Macaca mulatta: one gene and its partners. The protein of the gene in region 2 interacts with the protein of the main gene of each other region in a pairwise test. Links are inferred from orthologs where the notes say so. Each region holds a gene or a part of one and is shown on either strand. Other genes may lie near its edges. The genes, in order: PIAS2, NAV2, RBM15 and ING5.

Evidence for each region.
Region 1: the proteins of NAV2 (region 2) and PIAS2 interact in binary tests that used the Homo sapiens proteins (3 or more experiments, as listed by UniProt). The two-hybrid records come from large-scale screens. The link is inferred for Macaca mulatta from reciprocal best matches to the Homo sapiens genes NAV2 and PIAS2.
Region 3: the proteins of NAV2 (region 2) and RBM15 interact in binary tests that used the Homo sapiens proteins (3 or more experiments, as listed by UniProt). The two-hybrid records come from large-scale screens. The link is inferred for Macaca mulatta from reciprocal best matches to the Homo sapiens genes NAV2 and RBM15.
Region 4: the proteins of NAV2 (region 2) and ING5 interact in binary tests that used the Homo sapiens proteins (3 or more experiments, as listed by UniProt). The two-hybrid records come from large-scale screens. The link is inferred for Macaca mulatta from reciprocal best matches to the Homo sapiens genes NAV2 and ING5.

The regions. Positions count from the first base shown.
Region 1 is NC_133423.1:45,529,787-45,534,814, forward strand, and holds part of PIAS2 (E3 SUMO-protein ligase PIAS2), read left to right. Parts: intron 1-3,707; coding exon 3,708-3,842; intron 3,843-5,028. UniProt on the Homo sapiens protein: Functions as an E3-type small ubiquitin-like modifier (SUMO) ligase, stabilizing the interaction between UBE2I and the substrate, and as a SUMO-tethering factor.
Region 2 is NC_133419.1:45,374,019-45,379,046, forward strand, and holds part of NAV2 (neuron navigator 2), read right to left. Parts: intron 2,165-5,028; coding exon 1,873-2,164; intron 1,182-1,872; coding exon 479-1,181; intron 1-478. UniProt on the Homo sapiens protein: Possesses 3' to 5' helicase activity and exonuclease activity. Involved in neuronal development, specifically in the development of different sensory organs.
Region 3 is NC_133406.1:129,853,349-129,859,119, forward strand, and holds the start of RBM15 (RNA-binding protein 15), read right to left. Parts: upstream 3,633-5,771; 5' UTR 2,762-3,632; coding exon 1-2,761. UniProt on the Homo sapiens protein: RNA-binding protein that acts as a key regulator of N6-methyladenosine (m6A) methylation of RNAs, thereby regulating different processes, such as hematopoietic cell homeostasis, alternative splicing of mRNAs and X chromosome inactivation mediated by Xist RNA.
Region 4 is NC_133417.1:146,980,837-146,986,478, reverse strand, and holds the start of ING5 (inhibitor of growth protein 5), read right to left. Parts: upstream 3,222-5,642; 5' UTR 3,204-3,221; coding exon 3,167-3,203; exon of another isoform or gene 3,045-3,166; intron 644-3,044; coding exon 572-643; intron 1-571. UniProt on the Homo sapiens protein: Component of the HBO1 complex, which specifically mediates acetylation of histone H3 at 'Lys-14' (H3K14ac) and, to a lower extent, acetylation of histone H4. Component of the MOZ/MORF complex which has a histone H3 acetyltransferase activity.

The DNA of each region.
Region 1 (5,028 bases), on a different chromosome or scaffold from region 2:
GGCTGTTGATTTGGTCAAGCTCTTTATGGAAATATTTTGGCTAATACAATCAAAAGGGTAATAGAATTAGAAAATCATTATTCCACAATTCATAATCATATAATGGGTCTAGGTAGCTATCATCAATGGATGCCAAAACTTGACGGGGAACTTTATAGTGGAGGGATCAGGCTGACATCCCCTGAACTCCTAATCAGTCTTGACACCACTGAAAACAGGGCAAACAACCTTCTGTGCATTATGATGTGGTACCATATGAAGTATGCAACATTTTCTCTGAAGTTTTTTGTTTCTAAAATTTTGACCCCAAGTTTAATCAAGCTTATACAACTAATTAGTGGTTTTAAAAATATATGGGAGATAGAGCAACAAATCTCATACTTCGAGGAAGCAAAATACCTAATCTAAAATGCGAAGTCGTTCTTCAGGTCGAAAGTCCTGGTTTCTCCAGTAGAACAACAGCATTGGGGAAAAAGTGTGTGTTTGGAGACGGCAGGGGTTGTGTTTATAGAATAAACGAGACTTCAGAGACATAACTGTGGTGTGGGGCTCTAGTTTTTAATTCTGATTCAAGCCGTAAAAGGACTATACTAAACTACATATGGAGAAAATAGAAAATATATCTGAGATTTGCTTTAAAATAATCTGGAGTGGGGGTTGGGTACAGTAGGTAAAGATTGTTCATGGGTAAGTAAATTACTGAACTGATAGATATATACGTGTTATACTTTTTTCTCTATTTTTGTATATGTTTAAAATTTTCAATAATAAAAGGATGAAAGGAAAATAAATTTTGAGGCACCTGGGAAATCTGAATCGAAAGACAAGGTATTAGGTGATTTTTTAAAACTTGTTATTTTTGTGGGGTTGTAATACTGTAGGTTTTTAAAGTCTTATTAGAGATCCATGTTGAATATCTGGGTTAAATGGCATGTCTAGAATTTGAGTTTAAATACTCAAGGGCAAAAAGAAATGTGTATTTTTGTGGCGTGTGTGTTTTAGGGCAGATTGGCTTTGGGGCCAAAAGCATTTGAAACAAGATTGGCAATGTGGATAATTATTGAACCTGGTTGGTGGGTCCCTGCTGTTTGTACCTTTCTTGTGTATGTTTGAAAATTTCCATAAAGTTAAAAAGTAAATCTGTGTTAGAAGTATTCAAGTAGTAGTGATAATTAGAAAATTTGGAGGAAAACGTTAAAGTAGAATAATTGTGGACAACTTTTGTCACAGTTGCAAGTAGGGTAGGGTGTCATCAGAGCATGAAACATAAAAAATTATTTGAGTGTGTCACAGGACCACCACAAAGTCTTCCGCTGGTGCTGTCCAGCAGCCTTTGCTTAGAAAGCTTGCAGATTTGCCCCACTGGTTCCCTGTCACATGAACTTGACTTTATTTTTGCTTTAAATATGGAAAACTGTTAGAAATATGTGTGAAGGCTAAACTTTATATTTTATAAAATTCCAACTATTAATATATTCTCAATAACCAGGAAATTGATGGTTGGGTAGGGGTGGTGCTGATGGTTAGAGGTAGAATACAGGTTATCATATAACTCAGAATTACCAGTAAAGTCACACTACTCAAATGGGATATAGAATAGATTGAAAACGCTTTACACTGAGTGAGACTAACATGATTCTGAGTTTGCTGACACTTCATTCTTACATGAGTGTCACTCTTCCTGCTTCTGTTGCCCTTTTCTACTGTGTCAGGCTGTGTTATGTCTTAAATTCTAATTTCCAGAGTGCACATTTTAGTTCATGAGTTATTTTTATCCTCCTGACAGACCCTGTATCATTTTTATTTGGTTAACCTACTAGTGGACATACCAGCAGACAGAATTATCTTCCAGGCCCAAAACAGGCAAAACAAAAGTTTCATTCAGAATTACCTAGATACTGGTGTTGATATTCCTTGTACTTGTTGCTCATTGAATCAACTTCTTGAGTCTTTTTAAGAGGACTTTTCTTAGGAGTTTTTTTTTTTTTTCTTTTTCTGAGCAACTTTTTTTTTTTTTTTTCGCTTGAGCAACTTAAGATGGGCATAACCTTCATAAACACACACTCTCTCTCGCACACACACACACTCACACACACTGTCTCTCTCTCTTTCATTTCTGTATTCTAGTGCAAGTTATTTAAGTTCTTCTCTTTGTCTTTTACTCCCCTGCTCAAACATTTTTAATTACTTTCAAAATTTTTTGCAAGTTATAGATTACACATTATCATGTGGACTACCATTTAATAATTACTGTCTTGCCCCTTATGAGACAGTTCCCAAGTTGTGGTAGTCAGGGTGTGGTCCTCTTTGCCATGTGATACTACCAGTACTAGTTTTCATTGGTCCTAAGGTGCATATTTTAGCATTGCTGAAATCCAGAAGTGTCTTAAAATTGCTGGTGACCAGGTGTCAGCTGTGATGTATTATCATTGTCTGCACTTGTACAACTTTGGTGTTATTGCCATGGCGTGACTAGTTAGCTGTACTCCTGGCTTTTCAGTTAACAAATAATTTAAGGACATTTTGAGAAAGAAGCATGAATGCTGGCTGTTGTCTGAAAACTTTTCACTGATGGATTCTCATAAGATCCAGATTGTATCCCCATTAACACATCCAGTTAATGGTGTCAGTGACTTGCAGAGAAATCTGAGACATTAGTGGAATGAAATACAGTTTTAAAAGATACTTTTTTCTCTGAAATTCCTGCTTGTGCATAGGGGAGTGTTATGTGGAAAAATGTATGGATTAATGGTGGAGTGAAAAGTGATTCAGAAGATTCTTATGTCCAAAAGGGAATATGTTAATTCATTTTGCTTCCATTTCTTTGCCATATATACATAGTATTTTCTTTCTCAATAGTACATAATTAAATTACATCAATGACATCCTAGCGTCAGTGAAATATGGTATCTACTTTTCAATATGTAGATTTTTTGCAGCTAAGATATTTTAATTTTCTAAAAAATACATTATTTTGGCTCTGAAAAATCAGAGTGAAGTCTTGTGGTAATTGGGAATTGGATACACTGCGAATCAGAAATGAGTATACTTGCTATTTAAAACAAATGGTTGATGACTAGATAAAAGTAGATTAAAGCATAAATAGCAGTGTTATCTGATAGCCATCAAGCTCATTTAATGACAGTTGAAATGCTGATTATCCTTATTTGTTAACTTGACCTGGGTTAAAAGATTACCATTTCTGTTCCACCCAGAGAAAATGCAGTGGAAAATATTTTTATCACTCACCAAATTTTAAAAATGAAATTCGTTAGTTTGTTCTTTCTTTCCCCTCAATTCCCAGTTTGCTTTCTTTCTTTCCCACCCCGAATATATGCATGTATTTGAAATGGGGATTGCTAAGGATGAATCATTATAAAAAGTTGTGACTTTATCTGTAAAGCTTGGTGTCCTATGAAAAAGGAAAACGATTCATAGCCAATGTGGCAAGATGTCAGCATCTTTAATTTTAATGATGGGACATGGATTTTTTTCCTACCTTTCTGGACTTGTGAAATATTTTGTAACTTTTTTTCAAAGGTTGTTTTCCTGTTTTGGGTTGATAATGATAATAAGGGCTATATGATTTTTAGGCTAAAATAAAAATAGTGTAACTGAAATTGGGCAGGATCCTGTATCTATCTTGGAGAAAATGTTTAATCTTCCTGCAGATAATTTGAAATAATTTTTCTTTCTTATGGTTATAGGGCTACGCACCACCGCCTAAAAATGGGATTGAACAGAAGCGCCCTGGACGCCCCTTGAATATTACATCTTTAGTTAGGTTATCTTCAGCTGTGCCAAACCAAATATCCATTTCTTGGGCATCAGAAATTGGGAAGGTAAAAGCTCTCCATTTTGGGTAGCAGGACAGTGACCCCACTGGGGGTTGACTTACTGTGTTTTTTCTTAAGCTGTTGGCTTCAGCTCTTTTTGTTTGTGGATTGTAATCTCTAAAAAGCAGTAATTTTCAGTTCAGAGGCGGCAGTATGGAGATTCTTAAAGTTAAAAACTTTAGCTCTGAGTTTTCTTGAATATCGTCTCTTTATTTTCCTGGAAAGAAAATATGCATATTTATATTTCTTAAGGTAATGGTTTAACCGCAATTGTATGTAATGTTGTGTTGAGTATTTTAATAAACTAGAAGCTTTGGATGATAAATATTTGTGAAGAGAACAAGGAAAGTTTTATCAGTTTGGGGGAGAAATGGTTAAATGTACACATGTTGTGATTAGAAATAATCTGTTCTAACCTTTATATAAACAACTGATATTTCAGATAATCTGTGAGCATTTGTATAAAAAGATTTATTTAGAATTATAATATTTTCTCTTCACCTTCAAGTTGATGAACTTGACTTTCGGCTGATTTTTGGTCTTATAATGAATTATGTCAATTATGAGATAGCAGTTAATACAACAAGGAATTTACATTTTAGAATTACTTGTTTATATAACTGAAATAATGAATGGAAAGGAGATTTCAGTTAATTTCTGACCATCAGCTTCAGTGTTAATATTACATGAAGCATCAATTTCAGTGTTCCTATTACATGTTCCTAAACAGAATAATACTCCTGTTTTATGGATGGAGAAATTGAGGCGTTATTTATAGCAGGAATTTTTTGTTTTGCCACCAAGGTAATTGCAGAGCTGGGAGTAACTTTACAGACATTGGAATAAATGATTGTAGACATTGAAAACTTTTGCCATGTAATGGGGATAATACTCTTTCCTTATAATTAAAATGATTAATTGACCTAAAATTTACACCATAAATTGGGTATTTAGATATTTAAAAGAACATTAAAAAATATTTAAAATACTTGGTTTGGCAACTATTGAAAGTATTACGTTTATTGTAGAATCAATTGAATGAATATATTTAATAAAATGGGAAGATAGGGGATTTTTTAGCATTTATGTGAAATTATATTTTATCTCTTCATAGCTCTATAAATAGCTAATGAAGGTTCCTTTGTGCCAGATCTAACAGGTATGGGATTGGACACTTGTTTTCTGGCCTTGA
Region 2 (5,028 bases):
TTGGCCAGGCTGGTCTCGAACTCCTGACCTCGTGAACCGCCTGCCTCAGCCTCCCAAAGTGCTGGGATTACAGACATGAGCCACTGTGCCCAGTGGTAGCTATCTTCTATTGAGTGCATACTACGACCAGACATGACTACAAAGATGCATCTTTACAAAAACCCTGACAAAAAGGTATCATCATCCCCATTTTACAGGTGAGGAAACTAAGGCAGAATTGTTAAGAAAGGTTATATGGCAGCTAATTAAAATGGAACTAAGATTTGATTCCAAGATGATTGATTCCAGAGGCCTAACTTTTTCATCCCAACATGGGAAAATAGTCAACTGCAAAACCGTCGGCAGGATCTGCCTAAACAGCTTTACCGGAGGACTAAAGTGGAGAAAAACAGAGGGTGCTTCAACTAAGAAACAGGAAATTACTAAATCCATTCCCTGTATTCTGGTTCTGCTCAGCACCATTAATGTACTCACTTACCTGCGGAGTGTGGGAGAGGCCACATCTGGGTACTTGGCTCCAGGCTGGAGACCAGCCTGAGCCGGGCTGGACACAGGCTGGGCTGCCGGGTTCACTTTCACCGAGTTACAGGAAGCCACACTCTCGTTGTCGGATGAGATGCCTTTCTCCTTATCTGTTTGGTTGACCAGACCTGGTAGAGAGCTGCCTAGGGCTGTTTTGGAAGGCTCCCTCAGTTTGGGCACTGGCAGGCCTGCGGACTTGCTGCTGATGTTGGAATCTATGCTGCTGGTGCTAGACCTGTTCCCAGCCCCATTCCGGCTGGTGGACTTACTGGGCCTCGGCAAACTCCGGTACTGAAGGTTTGTCCGGGAGCTGAGGGCCAGATACCCGTCATCCTGATTCTGAGCCCCGTCCATGCTTGACTTCCGACCAGCAGACCGACTGATGAGTGCAGACGACTTTGGGATTTTGCCCAGTGTGGCTGACCTGCTGGTGACAGTGGCCCCACTGGCTGTGATCATGGCCAGACCGGCGGCGGAACCACTCTGCTTCTTGAACCCAAAGCTGTTGGCATTGGCAGTGGGTGTCCTAGAGCTGCTGGGGAGGGGCTTTTTGGATTCGTCACCACTGCTCCGGCCTGCATCTGATGGGGAGCGCTTCACCTGGGAGGCTTTAGGAGAAAGCCGTCCTTTCTCAGACACCTTTGCATCGTCTGTTTTTCCTAAGAGAGAGATCAGCAAGATTAGCCTGCAAGCCAAGAGCCCAGCTCATCCATCTCGTCTGTTTAAGATGCCCCCCTCCTCTGAAGAGCTGGTTCACTTTTCCCTTGGGGAGGCAGAGGAAAGAGCTTTTTATAAAAATAATATAGTCTCCTAATGTACTGTGAACCTTTTAGGAAATGTCAATAATTTTACTCATTCGCAAAGCAGTCTAAATTTACCCGGGATAAAGCAAAGCCAGCCAATCACTGATATGTCTGGGGGGAAATAACCCCCTGCCTTTTCTGACCTTTCACCCTCTGTCCATTAAAGGGCTGTCCCTAACATGTCCAGGGGGATACCCCTGCCCTTGTTTATAAATATCCCCTAAGTCAGGAACAACGTCAACTCACCATACCCACAGCTCATAAATCCATGCTGTTTAGTAGCCTGAACTGGCTGCATTAACTCACCCAGTGTCTAGTTAAACCAATTCAATACGTCTCAGCAGCCGAACCGTCTTCAGAGCTTAAGAGGCTCCCATACTTACTTCCACTTAGAAAAAGGTAGGGATGTGAAAGTTTATGGAAGCTTGTTGTTAGCAGAGTATAAATCCTGAGACAAAATATATAATGTCAAGTCCTTGCTAGAGTTAACTATGGCTTTGGTTTTCCAAATGACAACTGTAGGGCCAAGACAGCTCCGGCCTCTTACCAGTTCCCGGGGTCTTCAGTGCGCCTGCTGGTGCTGACGGCTTCGTCCTTGGCATGGTGATGCCCACCTGAGCTGTCATGCCTCGCCGCCATGAGCCTGTCTGGGAGATGACAGGATTCTTCTTGCCGGACGTGCTTTTGTCGGACTCGTCAGACACGTCAGAAGGATTCCGCCTCCACTTGGAACCTGGCTCCATTTTTATGCCGCTGTCTGAGCCTCCGTCTGATTTCTTGACATCATCACCAGACCACAGTGAATTCCTCTCCACCTGTGAGTGCTTCTCAGCATCAGTCTGTGGACAGAGACTCTCTGAATTAGTCCTTCCCAAGTCCCAGGCTGGGGAGCCCCTCACTCCAAAGGCAAAAATGCCAAAACACTGGAGTAGTTAAGGGAAAAATAATCATTACTTTAAAGATGTTTGGACTTTTGTACTCTGGTTATCTTGTCAGAAAGCCTGATTTTTTTTTTTTTTTTTTTGATCCGAGGAAAGTAAATAATATCAATGTATCCTTAGAATGGAATGAGGTGGCCGGGCACAGTGGCTCATGCCTATAATCCCAACATTTTGGGAGGCTGAGGTGGGAGGATCGCTTGATCCCACGAGTTTAAGACCAGCCTGGGCAACATGCAAAACCCCGTCTCTACAAAAAATAGAAAAAGTAGCTGAGTGTGGTGGCACACACCTATAGTTCTAGCTACTCCGGTGGCTGAGGTGGGAGGATCACCCCAGGGAGGTGGAGGCTGCAGTGAGCCATGATTGCACTACTGTACCCCAGCCTGGGTGACAGAGCTAGACTCTGTCTCAAAAAAGACAAAAAGAAAAGCAAAAGAAAGGAGTCAGGGAAGAGAGGAAAAGGGGCCCAGGAAAAAAGAAGGAAAGCGCCCTATCAAGGGGAAGGGGCAGAGCAGATGGAGATGCAGTGGGAATTCAGCCACCACCTATTTTCTGCCACTTGAACAAGCCTCTCCAACTCTGGATGCTAATCTCTAACCAGCATCCAGTCTCCTGGCCCGTTTCCCTTTGTTCTGCCTTCTTCCCATCACTCCACCGCAGTGAGATCTTTGGATCTAACACACCAAGCAAGGGAGTAAGTGAGCAAGGGTGGCTGCTGGTTCTACTCAAATCAGGGAGAGCCAGGAGCAGAGGGGAAGCACATCCTCAAATGATACTTCCCCCAAATGTGGAGAGCCAATGGTGCCTGCTCCGATCCCAGCATTATTTATACACCACTGCTTTGCTCCCCTTGTGGGATTTTGTTCTGACAAGGGATATAATTAGCCAGCTTTCTTTGGAAGAGCCCTGACCTGCTGGCCATGAAACCCAGAAGGGGACAGAAGTGTGACGTTAATGATCTCCTGCAGCTAAAAGGCATAAAGCTGACCAGAATGCTTTGGAGGCCTCCTGGGGTTTGAGGCTAGTTGGAGGATGTCAGCACAGTAAATGGGGAAGGGAGGTCAGAAGCGCTTTCAGGGTGGGTATACTAAGATACCAGTCCCGTATTTGCAATGCTTAACTACCGAGAGTAGGCAAGATAGGAAATTAAAATGAACACCTGGCAAGAATCTGCCTAACGTCTGTCATCCAAGAATGGAACAAATGCCTTCCTCCATAGAATACAATGGCTGAATGGGATAAAAGCTAAAAACAGATAGGCAGCCCAAGTTCAACTGCCTCCCCCACACCACCCCAACGCCTTCTCCCCTTATGAATTCCACTTGTCCATTACAGACACCTTATGAGTTCTTTCATTTGTTTTTTTCTAGCTAAGTATTAGTCATCAGAGATATGAGGAGGACAAGCACACACTTCCTGACTATGAGAAGCTCATCATTCAGCTGTGGCAAGGGACAGAGAGAGGGGAGTTCCTACATGTGGGCCCAGGGCAGGAGCTCACTCAAAGCTTGAAGAGCGAATGAGTGAGCCAAGGAACCAGCCAAGGAACACAGGCTTTTCAGGCCACAACAGACATTAACAAAATTATCTTATCTGATCTCAGCCTCTATTTAATCAGAAAGGGTTAAGTACCAAGTACTCTTATACCTTTATCTCAGTCTCACAGAAATTAAAGTTGCCCATTCTTTGTCCCAACTACCGCAGGTCAGTTTCCTTCCTCTAAACACTTTCAGCACATTAATCCAACCAGAATTTACTCCATGCTTGCTGTCTGCCAGGCACCACGGAGGGTCAGAGAATCTGGGGGTAAGACTGATTTCCCACCCATCGTGGAGCTTACGATTCAGTTAAACGCAGCAGAGATTGAATAAATAAATACCAACAAGGGTGTAATTGTAGATTACGAAGACTATTATAAGGAAAAGGACAAAGAGTCTGAGAAAGAAATATAGATGTTGACCTAATTTAGATGACAATGAGGTGGGCAGGCGACAGTGATCAGCTCAAAAAGAAGTACCCTAAAGAAAGAGAAGAAACTTACTTAGTAAAAGAAGGGTTTGGGGCAGAGCATACCAGGGAGAGGGAACCACATGTGTAAAGGCCCTGAGGCAGAAAATAACTTGGCTTTGGAACATTCACTTCACAAATATTTATTGGGTGCCACTACATGCCAGGAAAGCTGATTCGCACTAGGAATACTGCAATGAGTAAGTATAAATCATTAACCTCATGGAGCTTACATTCAAGTACATTTTAACATATTCTAATATGCTCTAAGAGTTACTGAAAATTTAGCACATGCCACATCCTGGGTTACTGCATTATTTATTCTTTTAATGTTCCTATACTTATTTCCCCCCCAATCAAATTGTAATGGTGCTAATACTAGTAGCATTAACAACTACAATTTATTAAGTACTTACTATGTCCCAGGCACTAAGCTAAAGTGCTTGATATGTATCATTAAATTTAATCCTTATCAAAAACCTATGAGGAAATTACAGCTAATAGTCTCAATTTCACATGACAAAACTGAGGCACAGAGTGAAAAGAAAATTTCCCAAGATCACACAGTGAGGAAGTAGAGATGCAGGGATTTCAGGGAGTCTAACTGCAAAGCTCACATTTTAACCACCATGCCACACTGCCCTCCCTGAGGATAAGTCCAGGTATACGATACATTTGTGTATACTCAGTAGCACCTAATATCTATACCCAGAAGATTCTCCTTCCATACGGGCAGACTCCCCAACCCCAGAGCT
Region 3 (5,771 bases), on a different chromosome or scaffold from region 2:
GAAGGACCCCGGTGTTTTCCTTGTCTTTGTTGCCCCCCACAGGGAGGCTGATCACCCCGGCTGCCTGCTTTTGCTTTAAATAGGACACAAGGTTCCTAAGTGGCCTCTGAGTAGAAGTGGCAGTGTCTGATGCAGCTGAGGAAGAGGAAGACCGGCTGTCAGAACTTCCAGGCACAGCCAGAAGAATGGCATAACCATTGGGCCCTGCTACTTTGATGCGTCGAGTTACTTCATCCAACTTGGGCTGGTCCAAACGGAGACGCTGAGTGATCTTGAGCTGGGCCACTTTGCCTCCAGTTGAACCCTCCACAAGAAGACTACTAGCCACTTGGAGGTCACCCTGCAACAGATGCATGTTGGAAGGAAAGTTGCTGTTCTTCAGTAGAAGCATGCCCTGCCAGGCCAAACAGAGTTTGGGAGAGGCTGCTGCCGCAGGGGCTGTCCCCCCATCCTGTTTCTGGGACGGGGACTTCAGCTTGCAGGAAGCAGTGCTGGTGCTAGGTGCACTCCCATCAGAGCGGTCTTCTTTTTTCAGAGGGCTTTTTCCCTCAGTGGGAGCAGTTGTCCGGTGCTTCCTATCTCGTTCAGCTGATGCAGAGTTTTTACGGTCTCGCTTGTCACCCTGGCTCTTCTCCAAACTACCTCGTCTGTCTCTGATTGGAGAGGGCCTTTCCAAGAGAAGACGGGAAGATCGATCATTGTCGCTGTTGTAACGATCCCGGCTACTGCTCAATTCTGGACTGCGGTCAGGAGAAGGAGCGCAGTGACGTTTTCGTGGGCGGTCACTCTCAGGAGACCTATCCAGATGACGTCCTCCACTCTCCTCAGGCAGCCTTCGCTTCCTAGGCTGGTCTCTGCTGCTGGGCAGATCTCGATCACCTCTGTCCCGGTCCAAGGACCAACCATCCCGCCTGCGATCAAGGCTATCCAGTGGCTCGTAAGCAGGCACAGAAGTAGCTGCAGTCCGAGTGCTGCGTTCTCGGACTGGGGGTGGGGGTGGCACCCAATCAGAGTCAGGATAAAGGTCCCTATCACGATCTCTGTATAGTAAGGGTGGTGTCCTATCCCGAGCACCCCTCAAAGGGTCAGGTGCCCGATGTCCAAAAGCATCTGTCACCAGCTCATAATGAGTCAAGGGCAGAGGCTGCAGATACTGCTGCTGGTAACGATGTTCGGTGTCGGCAAAGTCTACTCTAAGGCGTCGATCTGGGCCACCAAGTGGGAAGCCCCGCATATGGGTCCAGGCAGCATGCGCTGCATCCAGGCTTTCATACTGGATATATGCCCAACTATCACCTTTTCGGTAGTCTATGGTGCGTATGGTGCCAAATCGATCAAATTCTCGTGCCAGGGCAGCAAGAGGAACCCAAGGTCCCAGGCCTCCCACCCAGAGGCGGGTGGTAGGTGTAGCTTTACCATAACCAATTTTGATAGGATTCCGAATTATAATTTTGCCGGACATTGCTAATTTGGCCCGGTGAGACATATCTAAGTTCTCAAATTTGAGAAAGCCGTAAGTACTAGTCTGGCCGCGAGAAGGCCTCTTGATATCTACTTCTGTGATGACTCCAAAGCGATCAAACGCCCTTCTTAGATCATTCTCCGTTACAGTGATGTCTAGGTTGCCCAAGAAAAGCGTCCGGTTAGCTCGCTGATCATCCTCGGGTGAAATCTCATCCACTTCTCTGAAAGGAGCAGCACCTGCTCCAGCTCCCACCCTTGGCTCAAGACTGTATGCAGGGCGCACTCTCTCATAGAACGGGTAGTCTCTTTCTCTCTCCAGCTCTCGAGGCAATGGTGGCGGAGGTGGAGGGGGCAGGCGGCCAAGAGCCAACTGCTGCAGCCGGTAGTCTCTGTATCCTAAAGCAGCGCCACCAGGGGAAAGTGATCTCTGGCCTCCACCACCTCCAGGGGGGTGCCGGTGACCACCTACAGAGGCCCCGACCACGCTGGCTGAAGGAGGATAAGTATCTTTGTCTAAAGGGGAGCGGCTGCGGCGCCGGCTCACATACACAGCTTCTATCTTCAGAGGCCGGTCATAGAGCACCAGGCGGCCTCTGGCATGCTTGGCCGCCCGCGCGTCCTCTGGCCGCCGGAAGTTCACAAAGGCTACCCGCTCATCCCCGCTGCCAGAACCCGACAGATGACTGATTTTGACACTTACATCACCGAAACGTTTGAACTCATGAAACAGGCCGTCCTCCACCGCTTCGTCACTAAGCTGGGACCCCAACTCGCTTATCTTCAGAGTCTTGTATTCCGCGCCGTCCCCGCCGCCGGGAGCTGAGGAGGCGGCCCCAGAGGAACGTGACTCCCCGCCTCCACCCCGGGAGCTGCTGCGCGACTCGCCCCCGCCCGAAGAATTTTTGGTGCTCGGGGAGCTATAACTATGCAAGCGGCTACTGGAGCTGCCCCCACCGGTGTCATACTCGCGGCTGCCACCTCGACTGCTGGACTTGTCCAGGTGGAGACTCCGCCGCGACCCGCCGCCGCTATCGGTCTTTCCGCTGCTGCTCCCATTGCTGCCACCAGAGCCCCCTAACTTCTTGCTCCGCTCTCCGCGGGAAGTCGAGTCCTCACCACCACGGGAGCGTTTGGCCTTGACTGGCGAGCGCTCTTTTCCCTTCATTGTTGCGGGTCCTCGGAGGTCGTCTCCGCGGAGCTGATCAACCCGCCGCCCCGCGCTCGTTTCACACAGCGGAACCGCACGCCGCCATCTTGGACTCCGCCGCGGCACAGGGTCCCGCCCCGCAGTCCTCATTGGCCAATTAGCTCTCTCTTCTACAGTCTCATTGGGAAAATTATTTGTCTATCTTTACATCTCCCCGCGCTCCAGGAAGGCGCCCGCCCAACCACTGTTATTGGGTTCCCAACCCCCTAGTCAGAGTACCTCATTGGTTACATTTGTTGTCTATCTTAACGGTTCCTCGCGCCAGGCTGTAGCTCCGCCCCTCGCACTCTGCGGTCACGTGACCCAAAGTGTAGCTGTGTTGATTGGACAAAAAGTCTGCCCTGTAACGGTACTTCTTGCTCAGTGAAAGCAGCAACCCCGCCTCCTCATCCCTTTCATTGGCTTATAAACCCGTCCTTTAAACCACTATTTGGGAGGTGGGGCCAAGTTTCGGCGTTTTTTCGAGAGGCAGGCTCACAGCGATATCGCGAGAGACGGTGAGCTCCCTCTTTCGACCCCCTTTTTCCAACTCCTCCGGCGGCTAAAAGAAGTTTAAATCTGATTGGATGTCTGCAAGGAAGTTGATAGGCTGAAGTAACTGTCCATCACTCGCTTAAAGGGGTAGGCCCATATAACGGAGGAGGCTGACTGAAGGTGAAAGACTAGAACACGTGCTTGCTATGCGACGTCACTTAGATGTCGCGAGAGGGTGACTGTGCGCCAGCCCCGCCTCCCCGCGTTTTTGGCGTTCTCCCCACAAACATTTGTTAAGTTCCGTGGGGTATTTGGCTGTGCTTCGGCCCTTGGAGTTCGAAACTTCTGAGCTCCCCGCCGTCCTACCTGTGCCGGCCAAGGGGCGGGGCAGACTCTCCGGCTGTCGGGGCCCTCCAGTCCCTTAGGAAGCCGTCCTGGGACGCCTAGCGGACACCATCTTATGTCGCTGTGGTAGCTGAGTGTACAGCCGGGGGAAGCCCCGCCCCCCGCGCGCGGGATAGCGATGCCCGCGGTCACCTGGGCCCGCGGGGCAGGGAGTTCACGGTTCCTGCAGCCCCGGGTCACGCTGACGCCCCGGGGCGGTGCTAACACGTAACACGCGGGACCTCGAGAGCTAAGTAAGGTGGCTGAGACGCAGCCCTAGCCCAGGAGCTTGTCTCCCCCCGGCGCTCCCCGTTGCCGCCCAAGTACTCTGGGCAACCGAGGGGAGTGACCGTCGATCCCCGCCTCGTGGCCCGCGGGCGGAGCCGGAACTGTCAGGACACCGCGGACGTGTCTTTGGGCTGCCTGTTTTATGTTGCGAATCTGTGTGGATTTTTAAATCCGGTATTCCCGTAAAATAGCAATGTTTGTTTTTAATATGTAATGCTTCTTCCCTGAAAATCATCGAGCGAAATTTAGGCTCCATGCAGATATGTCGCTTTTTATTCCCCCTGTGGCTTCTTGTATTCCTTGGCACTCCTCTTTTTGTGTGTTAAAAGCCAGCAGCACAGGCACCTTGTGGCCGCTCCGGATCCACTTCGTTTGGCTCCTTCTGTCGTTCGCCTTACAACTTTAATTTCCATAGAGCGTTACTGTGGCGGACAGAGCACCTGTGAGAGGTGCAGGCGATGCCGAGCTTAGGGGGATATGGCCTGTGCCCCAGCACTCGCCGGTTGCTGCAGGGACGCAGCGCTGAGGTCACCACATCCTTTAGACCGTCTGCAGCTCTCCCGGGTATGCGCCGGGGCGGAGGTTATATTGATCCCGTCCTCAACCCTATTTCCCAAGATCCAATCTATAGTAGAGGTGTGAGGTGTTTTTAAACATGACATTTTTCAGGATAACAATAATGTCCCAAAAGCTGAAACCTAAACTTGAAAACTGTTAATATTAGGAACTGTAACCTAAATTTAGCCTTGGCTGAGCCATCCTTCTTTTTGTAAATAATCCTGAGGAATATGAAGCTGTAGGCCTTTTATCTCTTGAATAAATCAAAGAAACTTGAAGGAAGAAGCTCAATTGTAAAGCATAAAAATCCACAATATTGTAATGTGTAGACATATTCATTGTATTAAAATAGGAAATAAAACTTCAGAAGGCATAAAATAACGTGTATAATACGCTACCATTTGTGGTTTTAAAAATATTTGTATTTTATGAGTATGTACATTTAAAAATATTTTCGTGGAAACTTTCTTGACAACTACGTGGGAAATTGTTCCTAGGATTGCCCTGAGGAGGGGTGTAAGGATCTGGAGTCGGAGGGAGACTTCACTTTTCTTTGTAGAAATCTTTTGTTTCTACAAAGGGCGCGCTATTACTCCTTCAGTTTAGAAAATAACATTTTTAACTTTCCTTAAACTATTTTTATGGAAAAAGTTTAAAATACATAAAAGAATAAAGAACTCCCACGTGTACCCAACACCCTACTTCAACAATTATCAAATCATGTCAATCTTGTTTCATCTGCATCACTCTTCCCACTCTTCCTTTCTCCATTGTTTTCTGCAGACTTACCTGATATACATTTCCTGCCCCAGTTGTGGAGTCAGCCATTTCTCCAGAGAGCTCTGGTTCCTTTTAGTGGGAAATGGTATTTAAAGATAAAAATCTGGATGCTGGAGGATAAAAAATACATGAACATATTATTTGTAAAAGCATGAAATAAAAGAAAAAGTTTTACCTGGGTTTAAATGTTTCAGGGTTATATTAATAGACCACAAATGGAAATTGAAGTTAAGCCATTATCTAATTACTCAATATAACAGTCAATTGAGATAATAAACCAGGCACTAGAGTGACTTTTTAACCTAAATTGACCTGCTAAGGTGACTCACTGATCAAAGAAAAAGATAATGACCAAATCAGTAGTTTTCCAGACCTCATGATAGGGGTTGAGGGAGCACAAGATTTGAGAGAAATAATTCAGGGAGACAAGCAGACACCCAGTCTGTGTGAACATGCACCAGAGGCATGCCAAGCTTAGTGGCTTGCCACTTCAAATACCGGAGAGCTTGATGGAAGCTACTGCCCGCGGCTGGCTATAGTACAAAGGCTTGCCGAGGGGGACTGAAAATCTGCCTGGAGCCAAGAGGACTAGTAAGTTTTATGCTTAGATGGAAAA
Region 4 (5,642 bases), on a different chromosome or scaffold from region 2:
TGAAACCCCATCTCCACTAAAAATACAAAAAAAAAGAAAAATTAGTCGGGCACGGTGGCAGGCACCTGTAGTCCCAGCTACTCAGGAGGCTGACGCAGGAGAATGGCGTGAACCCAGGAGGCGGAGCTTGCAGTGAGCTGAGATCACGCCACTGCACTCCGGCCGGGGCGACAAAGAGAGACTCCGTCTCAAAAAAAAAAAAAAAACAAAAACCGGAGTTAAACACCAAAAGGCCAAAAAATACTACCAAACTTTTAAAACAATGCACACACTACATACTCTGAAAATTGAAAATTTATAAAAGAAAAAAAATGGCAATAAATATTTTGATTGGAAAGGGTGATGGTTATAAGAGCATGATATAAAGATGTGTAAGAACCCAAGAAACTAAATGTGGCTTTGAAAGTATCAACACCTACTGCAAGACACTGGGTGATACCCACAGCCCAGGGCTAGGCCAATGCCCCACTAACCTGGGTCCCCTCAAAACCCTCTGCCCCCAGCCTTCAGGAGCTGCTGGCTCCCAGCTGTCAGAACCCAGTTCTGGTTGTACTGAGAGGCCTAAACCCACCTTCTGTCCTCTGGTCCAGCTCTCGCATCAGCTGGAAGTTCCTCTGAAGTTCGCAGGGAAGGTTCTCGATACCTGAAACACAAAAACATGGAAGTCAGGTACCTCTCAGTAGCAGGACAAAAATTCACCTTCAAAGGTTGTTTTGTCTTTTTTTCTTTTTTTGAGACAAAATTTTGCTCTTGTTGCCCAGGCTGGAGTGCAGTGGTGCAATCTCGGCTCACTGCAACCTACACCTCCCGGGTTCAAGTGATTCTCACGCCTCAGCCTCCCGAGTAGCTGGGATTACAGGTACATGCCACCATGCCCGGCTAATTTTTGTATTTTTAGTAGAGACGGGGTTTCACCAGGTTGGCCAGGCTTGTCTCAAACTCCTGACCTCAAGTGATCTGCCCACCTCAGCCTCTCAAAGTGCGGGGATTACAGGCGTTGAGCCACCAGGCCTGGCCAAAAGTTTTATACTTAAAGTTTAAAATGACAAGCCCACTCTGTCTTCTGTTTCTGTTAGGGTTTGGGGAGCGCCAGGATTGTGATATCATTTTTTGACTTAGGTACCAAATAGTGCTGATAAGAGGCTAACACACTTCAAAAGCTGTCAGAAGTCAAAGAAGGGAGAGGGAAACTTGGAAACCAACAGCAGAGGCAGAGGAGGCCACCTGGCCCCACCCTCTAGGCTACCCCACCTCAGGGAGCAGCATTCTCCAAGGCTCAAGCCAAAATACCCTGGGTCCTCCTTGATCTTCCCCGACTTTACCCAGAAATCCAGTGCATCGAGCAGTGTAGCCACGCTGTCCACGCGACTTTATGCAAGGATAGAAGTGTTTTCTCTCTCGGCCGGGCGCAGTGGCTCACGCCTGTAATCCCAGCACTTTAGGAGGCCGAGCAGGCAAGTCAGTTGAGGTCAGGAGTTCAAGACCAGCCTGGCCAACATGGTGAAACCCCGTCTCTACTAAAAATACAAAAATTATCTGGGCATGGTGGTGCACACCTACAGTCCCAGCTACTCGGGAGGCTAGGGCATGAGAACTGCTTGAACCCGGGAGGCGGAGGTTGCAGTGCGCTGAGATCACACCCTGCAGCCTGGGCAACAGGGTGAGACTCGATTTCAAAAAAAAAAGAAAAAGAAAAAAGAAAAGAAATGCTCTTTCTCTGAGCTGCCCAAGACAGTGGTGGCCATCCCGAGCTACTGAGCACTGGAAATGGAACTAACGCTATTCAATTTTTAATTTTACTTAAATAGTCCCTGTGGCTATCGCAATCATCCCCAACAGTCTGCCAGGAAGACCCCCGTGCTGTTTTCCAGTCTGCACTGATATCCCCTAGAGCAGGCCAACCTCCGCCCCCTGCACAGCTGACACAGGCTCCTGAGGGGGGCTGCCTCTTCCGGTCTTGGCCACCCTCCTATCTGCTGTTCACAGTTACCAGGCAATCATTTTAAACCTAACGCTATCTTATGCATCTGATGCTTCCAGCCCGTGTTTTCCCAGGTCCCCTAGAGGACAGAGGCGCAGCCTCCCAGGCACACACACAGTCAACCCTCGTTGGGAGGCCAGCCCACTGGCTGGGCACCAGGATGGAGAAGGCTTCTCCTCCAGCGTGCTCCCGGGTTTGACTCTTCTACCCGGGGAACCCCCCACTACTCAGACCCCCACGAGACAGCAGAGCACATGGGCAGAACAGGGCGTCCCCCTAGGGCAAGGGTCTCCAACTCCAGGCCACGGCTCACTCGCCACTGTCTCAGCTCCTGGGCGAGTGCCAGGCCGAAGACCATGAGGATCCCCAGTGCAGCGCCCACATAAGGGCCCTCCAGAGTCACCAAGCACAACCCCAAACACCGCGACCCCAAAGCTGTGCCCATTCCGGGCCGACGTCAGGGGTCCCGCGTGGGCTCTGCCCCTCTACGAGCGGGGGACCCTGAGCAGTCTGCTGGGCAGCGCTGGGCCTTCCCTGGTCTGTAGAGTGAGGGAAAGCACCATCGCTCAGCCGCTGGGGGCGCCGACCTGCTGCCACCTGGACACAGCACCGCCCGCCCACCAGGGCCGACTCGGCGCCGCCCTCCCCGTCTCCGAGCTGCAGTCCCCAGGGCCGGGGAGAGACGCCCCGTGGCCCGCACGCCCTCCCCAGCCGCGGTCACACAAGAGGCCGGCGCACAGCCAGGCGGGGGCCCAAACCCCGGAGCCCCCAAGCCCCGGAGCCCCGCAGCGGGTGTCAGCTCGACCTGCAGACCGGACGGGACGGGCGGGGCCGGGAACGGGCGGGGCCGGAGCTGGGGGCGGAGACGAGGCGGGGCCTGGGTGGGGGCGGGACCTAAGCTATGGGCGGGACGAGTCCGCAAGCCCCGCCCACCCGGCCCCGCCCCGCCGTGACGCACCTGGAATTGGCGCGGCCGAGCCGGCGGGACCCCCCTCGCCCGCCCCCCGCGCCCTCCCCTCTCTTGCGGCCCTGCCCCGCCCCGTCCGCGCGCCCCAAGTCGCACCCGGCAGCGCCCGCCGCCCTCCCGAGCCCACGGGGTCTGCATGCGGTGCCCGGCGCGCGGGGGTCTGCGGCACTGGGAGCTCCGCGTGGGCGGCGGGCGCGGGGCCCGCGGAGCGCGCTTACTGTCGAGATAGTGCTCCAAGTACATGGCGGTCGCCATCTTCGTCCGCGGCCGCGCTCGGGGTCTGCGCGGGCGGGCGGTGCCGCGGGAGGCGGGGGCGGGGCGGTGCCAGCGCGCTCACTATTCATGAGACGCGCGCGCTCATTGGCCGCGGTCGGGGGCGGGGCCGGACGCGCCCCTAGGCTTCCGGCGGGCGGCGGGCTGCGGGGCCCGGGCGGAGGTCGTGGTGGCGGCGTCGTGCAGCGAGCTGGACCCAGGGCCGCAGCAGATCGGAGGCCGAGGAGCAGGGGTTCCCGGCCCCGCCGCCCGCCGTACAGCCCAAGGCACCGAGGTGGGCGTCTCCCCTCCGAACCTGCCAGCGACCCCAGGGCCACCAGACGCCAACACGTGGCCCCGGAGACCTCGGGCACGTCCTGACGGCGCTGCTCCCGGCCAGGATCCCGGCCAGGCCGCCACGAGGCCCCACCTTCCCGAAGGCTCCTTGGGGCCTGTCTGGCTCAGCGCCTTCCCTCCGGACCCCGAGCCTCCGGGGCCTCAGCCCGGCCTGAGCCGAGGGCCGGCACCGCGTGGCCGGAGCGAGCTGTCCCCTCCCTCAGGGCCTGGACCCTAGCGCCCTCCCCGGGCAAGGCCGCCCCTTCCCTCAAAGGAAAGCGGCCGCCCCGCCCAGCACCAGTGAGGGCACCAGCTCCTTTGCTGCCACCTGTCGAGGCAGGCAGCACCCGCACCATCTGGATGCCTTGGCCGAAACGGCACGTGCAAGCAATATGATATAGTTAATAAGATGGCGTGCAAAGGTGTGCAGTAAGATGCATGCAAAAATACTGGAGAAGGCCGGCACGCTGTGTCACGCCTGTAATCCCATCACTTTGGGAGGCCAACGCGGGCGGATCACTTGAGGCCTGGAGTTTGAGACCAGCCTGGCCAACGTGGCGAAACCCCGAGGCTATTAAAAATTAAAAAAAAAAAAAATTAGCCGGGCGTGGTGGTGCACGCCTGTAGTCCCAGCTACCCCGGAGGCTGAGCCCGGGAGGCAGAGGTGGTAGTGAGCGGAGATCACGTCTGCACTCCAGCCTGGCCGACAGAGCAAGACTCTGTCTCCAAAAAAATTTTTTTAAAGAAAAAAAAATACTGGAGAAACATAATTAAAATATGTTTAGGACTCTGAGCGGTGGCTCGCGCCTGTAATCCCAGCACTTTGGGAGGCCGAGGCGGGCAGATCACTTGAGGGCAGGAATTTGAGACCAGCCTAGCCAACGTGGTGAAACCATGTCTCTACTAAAAGTACAAAAATTACTGGAGCGTGGTGGCGGGCACCTGTAATCCCAGCTGCTCAGAGACTGAGGCAGGAAAATTACTTGAACTTGGGAGGTGGCGGTTGCAGTGAAACGAGATCACGTCACTGCACTGCAGCTTGGGTGACAAGCGCAAGACTCCGTCTCAAAATAATAATAATACAAAAATTAGCCAAGCATGGTGGCAGGTGCCTGTAATCCCAGCTACTAGGGAGGCTGAAGCGGGAGAATCGCTTGAGCCTGGGAGGCGGAGGTTGCAGTGAGTCGAGATTGCACCACTGCACTCCAGCCTGGGTGGCAGAGCAAGACTCCATCTCAAAAGTAAAATAAAATTGGGCAGGCGCGGTGGTTTACGCCTGTAATCCCAGCACTTTGGGAGGATGAGGCGGGCGGATCACGAGGTGAGGAGACCGAGACCATCCTGGCTAACAGGGTGAAACCCCGTGGATCATGAGGTCAATAATTCGAGACCAGCCTGGCTAACGTGGCAAAACCCCATTTCTACTAAAAATACAAAACTGGCCAGGCACGGTGGCTCACACCTGTAATCCCAGCACTCTGGGAGGCCGAGGCGGGTGGATCACGAGGTCAGGAGATCTAGACCATCTTGGCTAACACAGTGAAACCCCGTCTCTACTAAAAATACAAAAAAATTAGCCAGGCGTGGTGGCGGGCGCCTGTAGTCCCAGCTACTCGGCAGGCTGAGGCAGGAGAATGGTGTGAACCTGGGAGGCGGAGCTTGCAGTGAGCCGAGATTGCACCACTGCACTCCAGCCTGGGCGACAGAGCGAGACTCCGTCTCAGAAAAAAAATACAAAACTTAGCTGGACATAATGGCTGGTGCCTGTAATCCCAGCTACTCAGGAGGCTGAGGAAGGAGAATCACTTGAACCCGGTACGTGGAGGTTGCAGTGAGCTGAGATCGTGCCACTGCACTCCAGCCTGGGTGACAGAGTGAGACTCCATCTTAAAAAATAAAATAAAATAATTAAAAATGTTTAAATATTAGTTTTTGGGGGGATTCTTCTCTGCCTCCTAACTTTGTGTAGCATCATCATGCAGTGTTCACCAGTACCCATGTTTCTCCTCTTCCCACCTCACAGCTGGACACCCCCAAGCTGGGACTCCAACTCATCTCTGGCAGGTCTTTAATGGGTGAAGTGTGTGTCACTTCCCAGTCCTGTCT